Linked DNA regions of Rattus norvegicus. The protein of the gene in region 1 purifies or fractionates together with the protein of each later gene. This does not show direct contact. Links are inferred from orthologs where the notes say so. Each region holds a gene or a part of one and is shown in the gene's direction. Other genes may lie near its edges.

Region 1 (4,327 bases):
AGCCTGCCCAGGCGCCTGGGATGCCTGAAAGCATTATCCCGCCCCCTCCGCGCCCCGACGGGCCGGGGGCAAAGTCCGACCCAGGCCCTCGGGCAGGCGAGGACCTGCCAGGCTGGGTCCGACCAGGTCGGGCGGGACAGGGCTCAGCCCCAGAGCTGTTCCGAGGGGCTGGGCCAGGCCGCCGGGAGGCGGGGGAGCCCGGGGGTGGCGGTGGAGGCTGGTCTGGACTAGCCGTCCCGGGGCCCTGGCGCGCCCTGGGACCTGGCAAATACCTCGGGTTCCTGGCTCCTAGTTTGCCGCCCCAAGACTGCACTGGTACCACCTCTTCCTGTGCCCTAATATGGATGCTGGGGAGAGAAATTCGGGGGGTTTGCCCCGCCCCCAATCCAATTCACGGACTCCAGCCTGTTGCCTTGGTGACGAGGCCCCGCTCCCAGGCTTCATCCCCCTCCAGCGGGCCAATGGAACAGTCCTCGGCTGCCAGGCCTAGTAATCGCCCAAGGTTGCAAGCTGAACCATTTCTAGATGGGGGGAGAGTAGACTATGACTAGAGGCGTACTCAGCTGGATTGTGACTTCCCCAGGGGTCGCTCGCTGGGGTTCCTCTTCCCAGGCGCAGAATTTGGCAGGCCCAGGCTAGGGTGCACCAACCCTTAGGCTCAGAATGACGAGACAGGGCCGGGCTCTTTCCCCCTCCGGGCTATTGCCACACTTCCTGCCTCGGCTCTTTTTCCCTAGCCTGTTTCTAAGGAAGGGAGTGGGGTTGGGCGACCGCACCCCAGCTATCCCGCCTCTTCGGCCCTCCAAAAGCTGACAGGATATCGGGCGAGCCCAGAGTGACTAAGGGGAGGCTTTGGACTCAGGTACAGGGTATGTCAGTGCCTAGAGACCACTTACGAGGTACAGTCTCATTCTTACAAGCCCCTTGTCTCTGGGATCCTCCAAGTCGTCCTCTCGGGTAGATCTCAGATACCCTCCTGGCATCGCCTTTACAGCTCAGAAGGAAGCCATGTCCTGACCATTTTAACTTTCCATCAGAGTTCTGCAAATAATCACAGTGACCCCAATCTTTGCTAGATATGTTCCCATCTTCTACTCCTATTGCCTCAGCGTTTCCAGGACCCTTGTTCACTTTCTGCATATCTAAATTGACCTCCCCAAAATTACTCCCCTTTTCCACTTATGGGAGAACCCTCAGACTCATCTGTGGGCTTTAGAGCCCCTACTCATTTCTTATACAATAGGTACCTGACCCTGCTTCCTGAACCTTCTCTCCCACCTGTTCTTTAAGCACTTTGCACTCGGGGCCTCTAGTTAATTCCTAGGTCAAATGTTAACAATTGCTCCCGTTTTGTACCTTCCCTGTTTTCTGGGGTCTTCTAGTATATTGTCAGTTCACAAGTCACAGCTATTGTGGGTCCCGCGAGACTATTCCGGGTATATCCTGAGGCACCCCATCTCCACTTGCAGTGTACAGAGATCTCATAGCCACCGGGTTGTACTCCCGCAGTCCTAACTCCTATGTGCCTCGGTCCCTCAACATCCCTTTGCTTGAGTGTCTCTGTCTCTACAGCCCCTCCCCCTGCAGCCGCGCAGAGCCACCGGGCTCGTGGCCGCTGTTTACAAGGACACGCGCTTCCTGACAGTGACGCGAGCCGCCTCCTCCCCTTCCCCACGCTCTAGGAGGGGGCCGCGGGGGCCTGGCTCCCGCGTCGGCCAATCGGAGTGCACTTCCGCAGCTGACAAATTCAGTATAAAAGCTTGGGGCTGGGGCCGAACACTGGGGACCTTGAGGGTGGCCAGGCCAGCTTTGGATCCTGCAGGGAGCGGGGAGCTGAGAGAAGAGACGCTGAGAAAGCGGGCGCACCACGGAGGGAGAGAAAAGCTCCAGAAGCCGGGCAGCGCTTTTACGCACAGCTACCAACTGGCCGCTGCCGACCGTCTCCAGCTCCCGAGGACGCGCGACCGGACGCCGGGTCCCGCCACAGCCGAGGACAGCTCGCCGGTCGCCGCAGCGAGGCCCGGAGCGGCCCTTCAGGGGGACCTTTCCCAGATCGCCCAGGCCGCCCGGATGTGCACGAAAATGGAACAGCCTTTCTATCACGACGACTCATACGCAGCGGCAGGATACGGTCGGAGCCCTGGCAGTCTTTCTCTTCACGACTACAAACTCCTGAAACCCACCTTAGCGCTCAACCTGGCAGATCCTTATCGGGGTCTCAAGGGTCCTGGGGCGCGGGGTCCAGGCCCAGAGGGCAGTGGGGCAGGCAGCTACTTTTCGGGTCAGGGATCAGACACAGGCGCATCTCTGAAGCTAGCCTCCACGGAACTGGAGCGCTTGATCGTCCCCAACAGCAACGGCGTGATCACGACGACGCCCACGCCTCCGGGACAGTACTTTTACCCCCGTGGGGGCGGCAGCGGCGGAGGTACAGGGGGCGGCGTCACCGAGGAGCAGGAGGGCTTTGCGGACGGTTTTGTCAAAGCCCTGGACGACCTGCACAAGATGAACCACGTGACGCCCCCCAACGTGTCTCTGGGCGCCAGCGGGGGTCCCCAGGCCGGGCCTGGGGGCGTCTATGCTGGTCCGGAGCCGCCTCCGGTCTACACCAACCTCAGCAGTTACTCCCCAGCCTCTGCACCCTCTGGAGGTTCCGGGACCGCCGTCGGGACTGGGAGCTCATACCCGACGGCCACCATCAGCTACCTCCCACATGCACCACCCTTTGCGGGCGGCCACCCGGCGCAGCTGGGCTTGAGTCGCGGCGCTTCCGCCTTTAAAGAGGAACCGCAGACCGTACCGGAGGCACGCAGCCGCGACGCCACGCCGCCTGTGTCCCCCATCAACATGGAAGACCAGGAGCGCATCAAAGTGGAGCGAAAGCGGCTGCGGAACAGGCTGGCGGCCACCAAATGCCGGAAGCGGAAGCTGGAGCGCATCGCGCGCCTGGAGGACAAGGTGAAGACACTCAAGGCTGAGAACGCGGGGCTGTCAAGTACTGCCGGCCTCCTACGGGAGCAAGTGGCGCAGCTCAAGCAGAAGGTCATGACCCACGTCAGCAACGGCTGCCAGTTGCTGCTAGGGGTCAAGGGACACGCCTTCTGAGAGCCTCCCTTGCTCCATACGGACACCCCCAGCCTTGAAGGCTGGGCGCCCGCCCCCCACTGGGGTGAGGGGGGCAGGCGATGGGCACTCGCCCAGAGGTCTGGGGCGCAGCTCACACACTGGACTCTGGCCTGCCCGCCTGCGCCCAGTCCTTCCACCTCGAGGTTTACATGGCCCCCTTCCAGCGTATTTTGTATGTTTTTTTTTTCTGGAAAGAGACTGAATTCATATTGAATATAATATATTTGTGTATTTAACAGGGAGGGGAGAAGGGGGTTGTCGCGGCGGAGCTGGCCCCGCCGCCTGGTACTCAGCCTGTGGGGATACTAGGGAGGAACCTCCGCCCCCTGCCCTCCCCCTCTGCACAGTACTGTGGAGAAGAAACACGCACTTCGTGTCTAAAGTCTATTTTAAGATGTGTTTGTGTGTGTGTTTGACTTTTTATTGAATCTATTTAAGTAAAAAAAAAGTCTTTATTAATTTCTGTGGTCTCTTTCTTCCAAGCTGGGCGGATGGAGGGAGAAGATTGGGCTGCCCCAAGCCCGGGGCAGTTTGTAGTTCTCTCCTTTCGGGTATCTTAAGGTCCAGTACAAGCGCTCAAACCTCCCATCCCCTGAGTCCTGGCACCAGACGCTGCGCAGGCAGGCAGTGGCCGAGAACAAGCTATCCAGGCCCAGGACAAAACCCGGAATGTGCAAGCACGGCCCCGCCCAGCCCCGTGCGCCGGGGCTTTCCCCGCTGACGTTACGGAAGCGCTGCCCATATATGGGCCTATTCAGCTCAGTGACGCCAGCGCGGTCTCCGGGCAGATTCCGGGAATCCCCTCCCCCTTCTCTGCCGGGCAGGGCCGCGGCGCCGGGAAGGGGGCCGGGATTTTCCCGGGCAGGCGGCTTTCTGGGCGCGGAAAGCCCCAGGCCGGGGTCCAGGGCGCCCGCGGTGGGAGGGCTGTGCTCTCCGGAGCCCTGGGAGCCACCCGAGCGGCTTTTAACAGGCTGGCGCCTGAGCCCCGCCGCGCCCACGCCCCCTCCATTGGACCGACCCTGGCGGAGAGTAACTGCAGCCTCCCTGTAGTTACAGACGCCGTCAGGGCTGCTCCCGCCAGGAAGGGCGGCGCCCGCCCGCCAGTGTCCCCCTCCCTTGTGCCAGGCCAGAAGTCGGCGACTGCCAGGTCTGGTCCTGTCCGGGCAGTTGTTTGGGCAGCTGGGCGTCGCCACAACTCTTG
Region 2 (4,637 bases), on another chromosome or scaffold:
GCTCGTGTCCAGTGGTGAGGGCTGGTGCTCAGTGGTGAGGGCTGGTGATTGATGGAGGGCTTGTGTCAGTGGTGAGGGCTTGTGTCAGTGGTGAGGGTTTGTGTCCAGTGGTGAGGGCTTGTGCTCAGTGGTGAGGGCTTGTGTCAGTGGTGAGGGTTTGTGTCCAGTGGTGAGGGCTTGTGCTCAGTGGTGAGGGCTTGTGTCAGTGGTGAGGGTTTGTGTCCAGTGGTGAGGGCTTGTGTCCAGTGGTGAGGGCTGGTGCTCAGTGGTGAGGGCTGGTGCTTGATGGAGGGCTTGTGTCAGTGGTGAGGGTTTGTGTCCAGTGGTGAGGGCTTGTGTCCAGTGGTGAGGGCTGGTGCTCAGTGGTGAGGGCTTGTGTCCAGTGGTGAGGGCTGGTGCTCAGGTAAGGGCTTATGCCCGGTGGTGAGGGCCTGTATACATCTTTTTAGCTCAAGAAGCAAAGCTCAGATAGATAAAGTAGGCTTGGAGTTCAAACCCTCCAACACCCATTTTATGCCACAATCCACCCTTGTCAGTCATGTTTCCCACCCCAAAGGTTCCACAACCTCCTCAAACAGCACCGCTCTCAGGAGAGTGTGGCTAAGGGGCAATGTGGTCATTTCTGATTCTAGCTTCAGTGGTTAATTAATTCAGTGGTTATTAATTTAAAATTCAAATTCTTGTTTCAAAGTGCAAATGCATTTTAAAGGCAGGTCTTGTGTCTTTAAAGCAGACTTTAATTTACTAATTTCAAATATAATTCCATTTTACTGAACAGGACTTAGATTTTGTTACTCACATGTGTGAATGCACATGCGTGTGACGGGAGATCATACAAAACCCTCAGGCCCGAGGCCGGAGAGATGGCGCCGTGGTTAAGAGCACTTCCCGCTCTTCCAGGGGACTGGAGCTCCCAGCATGTGCAATGGGTGGCTCACAGCAGCTGCTGATGATCCAACACTGACTTCTGGTCTCTGAAATCACCATGAATGCACGTGGCAGATATATACACAGACAGCAGATATACAGACACACAAGACCCCACAGCACACAAGACCCCACAGCCTTGGTATTTAAATGTGTGCCTTTCGGATTTTATAGGTGGCCCCTGAAGAAGATGAGAGAAAAAGGAGGCGGCGGGAAAGAAACAAAATTGCTGCTGCCAAGTGTCGAAACAAGAAAAAAGAGAAGACAGAGTGCCTGCAGAAGGTGAGTCCCGCCTGGCCCAACCTCCCCTGAGGGGAGGGAAATGCCAGCTGTAGGCAGAGGGTAGAGCAAAGCTATTAGCAAGGTGGAAGCAGGGGGGGAGGGGGGTGTTGGGGATTTAGCTCAGTGGTAGAGCGCTTGCCTAGCAAGCACAAGGCCCTGAGTTCGGTCCCCAGCTCCGAAGGAAAAAAAAAAAAGCATGGTGGAAGCGATTCTGGAGATGTATATGTGTACACATACATACACACACATGTATAGGCATATGTGTATATATATATCCATTTATATATACATACACATACACACACACACACACACACACACACACACACACACACGGCCAGCAAGCTGGCTCATGAGTAAAGGTCCTTGCAATGCATATGTGGCACCCTAGTTTGACACCCAGAACCCGCTGTGGAAGGAGAGAACTGGTTTCTAAACGTGACCTCTGACCTCCACATGCATGCTGTGGCACAAATCCCCAGCAGTTTCTAGACTTGCGGGTCACACCAGCCTATTTAAAGAGACTTTACTCATCAGTTTTAACAAATACAAACTGCAAAGCCCTGCCACTGCCTTTGGCTCTCAGGAAAAGCTTGCATTAATCTCTTCAAGTTACGGTGCTGAAGTGGTGCTTACAGTGCTCCTCCCTGGATCTGAACCCTCCTCTCTACTCCATGCTTATCCAGCACTGAGCACCCTGGGAGGCTGACACCCCACACCAAGCACCAGGGGTACAGCATGGGTTCACAGGCAAGGCAAGCTACAGAGCCTGGAAGTCTTTGCAGGGGCCATGTCTGCTCTCCCAAGTGTGTGCAGGGCAGCTTCTCAAAGAGATGTAAAAGCCTGGGTTGTCTGCTCGCTACTTCAGGGTCAGTGAAAAAAAACTTGGGCAGCTTTGGTGTTTCTGAGAATACGTCTGTGGACATGGGAGTCTTGGTGAGATCAGAAATTCAAAGACAACTCCACACCACCCGTTTGGGTTCCTCGATAGCTCCCACGATCCTGTGGGGCCCAGATGCCTTCCCCACGGGCAGTGAACTAGAGCAGCTCTCTCTGAGCCCTTGGTGCAGTTCCATCGAGCATGGGCGCCCGGCTCGGTGCTGTCCCTAAGCTTTCTTTCACGTCTCCCAACTTCAGAGCCCTCTACAGGAAACCCTGTACCTTCCACCTTCCACCTAGTTTGGTCCTCCCATCCTTGTGGTAGGACGGTTCTGCTAGCAGGTCTCAGTCTGGGGAGCCCCAAGGATTCCAGGTGGCCCCCCATCTCCCTGCCCCTTGGCTCCCTCCATAATGCTGCTGTCTGTTGATCATCCCTCAGGAGTCAGAGAAACTGGAGAGTGTGAATGCCGAACTGAAGGCCCAGATCGAGGAGCTGAAGAATGAGAAGCAGCATCTGATTTACATGCTCAACCTGCACCGGCCCACGTGTATCGTCCGGGCTCAGAACGGGCGGACGCCGGAAGACGAGAGGAACCTTTTTATCCAACAGATAAAAGAAGGAACATTGCAGAGCTAAGCAGAGGTGGCATGGGGGCAATTGGGGAGTCCTTACTGAATCCTCCTTTTCCACCCCAAACCCTGAAGCCATTGGAAAACTGGCTTCCTGTGCACTTCTAGAATCTCAGCAGCCACGAGCTGTTGGGTCAGGAGGGCCTGCGGTGACTACTGCGTTGTCCCACTCTGTCCCCGAGTGAACCGTGGAGCAGGCAGGAGCATCCTTTGTCTCACCGGCTCCAGGATTTAGGCCTTACCATCCCGGCCATTCTCAGATGACCTAGCTGGCCCCAGGCTGGGGTCCCATGCAAAGCAGGATCGCACTAATGGGATGCAGGCAGAAGTGTCTACCTTGACAGGTGGGGTGGGACCACGTCCTCCACTGCGGCTGACAACATCCCTCCTAGGGAAGATGGAGTGAGAACATTCATCATTGAAGTTGTCCAATGGCCAGGGTATGCTTTCTAGAAACTATGCTGTTCTGTCCTAGACTGACTGTGCATAGGGCATTCATTTCTGAGCCTGGTGTTGTGCTATTTAGATGTTTGTCTTGCACAACATTGGCGTGATTTTTTTCCGGGAGTTTCATCAGACCTGATTTCCGAGAGTTTGGGGGTCTGCCACTGTGGACAATATCCCCCAAAAGTGTTTGGGTGGCCATGTAAACTGGCTGATGACCAGCTGTGCTACTCTGTGCTGACCGAGGACTGATGCCTCCTTCCCCTGTACCCACTGCTGAGGAAGAACCCGGGCACAGCAGCTGTCCTTGGCTACAAACTGTTACAATGTCACAGAACGAAGGCACAAAGTCCCGCTTTCAAAGGGCGTAGGACTCCACACTCAGTGACAGGGCAGGAAGAGCCAAGGATTCTCCGTTTTCCCTTCCTTCCCACCAAAAACCACAGCCCGTGGAGACTGGTATTTGAAGCCAGGAGTGGGGCAAGGAAGGTGTCTGCACTGTGGGATGTTAACTGCGCTTTTGTCTTGAAGCTATTTTGAGATGCGGTCCAGAGTATTTCAGCTGGGAGGTCCCTCCCACTGGCCACCAGGGCTCTGGCTACTGTTAAAATTCTGATGTTTCTGTGAAATCCTCAGTGTTCAATCCGACTCAGTAGTATATTACAGTTTTCTGTAAGAGAGAACGTTACTTATTTATCCCAGTATTCCTAGCCTGTCAACGTAATAAAATATCAGAATGAGACCTGGTAAACCTTAGCGTGGCACTGGTTTCTGCTGAGTGTTGAAATGGTGATGATGCCTTTCTGTCATGGGGTGGTCAGCACTGAGTGTTTGGGGACGGATGGCTTCCTTCGTTCATGGGGAGACCACTAGGTAGGGCAGTTAGTAATTCATATTTTATGTGTATGGGTATTTTGTCTGCATGTATGTCTGTGTGCCACGTGCATGCAGTGCCTGGGGAGGCCAGAAGAGGAGGGCATTGGGTTCCCTGGAACTGGGGTTTCAGAGGGGTTGCAAGCTACCATGTAGTTGCTGGGAACGGAACCCAGATCTTCCCCGAGAGCACCAAGTACTGTTGTTAACTGCTGATCCATCTCACCACCTCCATTTATTTTTATTTATAATCGTGTGTGTGTGTGTGTGTGTGTGTGTGTGTGTGTGTGTGTGTGTGTGTGTGGTGTACATGAATGCAGTTGCCCACAGAGACCAGAAGAGCTCTTAAATACTGAGCCAGCTCTGCAGCCCAGGTGGGTGACTTCCCACTCCGTGCCTCTCATTGACAAACCCCGAAACAACGCTACAGGTGTGTCCTTCAAGCCACCTGTTTGGTGCTAAGATAGATTTTCGTTTGCTTTGAGTCAGGGTCTCAGTATGTAGCCCTAGGTGACCTGGAACAGAGTACACAGGCCAGACCGTTCGCTGATCTGCCTCCGGAATGCTGGTTCAAAGGGGTGCACCACCATGCCTGGCTTATG

The links. Proteins that work in one complex are often made in the same cells at the same time.
Region 2: the proteins of Junb (region 1) and Atf3 purify together in Homo sapiens (affinity purification with mass spectrometry; 3 studies listed by BioGRID and IntAct, counting the BioPlex papers as one, with this or other methods). This does not show direct contact. The link is inferred for Rattus norvegicus from reciprocal best matches to the Homo sapiens genes JUNB and ATF3.

What each region holds. Positions count from the first base shown.
Region 1 is NC_086037.1:40,079,326-40,083,652, forward strand, and holds Junb (transcription factor JunB), read left to right. Parts: upstream 1-1,800; 5' UTR 1,801-2,070; coding exon 2,071-3,105; 3' UTR 3,106-3,585; downstream 3,586-4,327. UniProt on the Homo sapiens protein: Transcription factor involved in regulating gene activity following the primary growth factor response. Binds to the DNA sequence 5'-TGA[GC]TCA-3'.
Region 2 is NC_086031.1:105,281,713-105,286,349, reverse strand, and holds the end of Atf3 (cyclic AMP-dependent transcription factor ATF-3), read left to right. Parts: intron 1-1,101; coding exon 1,102-1,209; intron 1,210-2,527; coding exon 2,528-2,725; 3' UTR 2,726-3,913; downstream 3,914-4,637.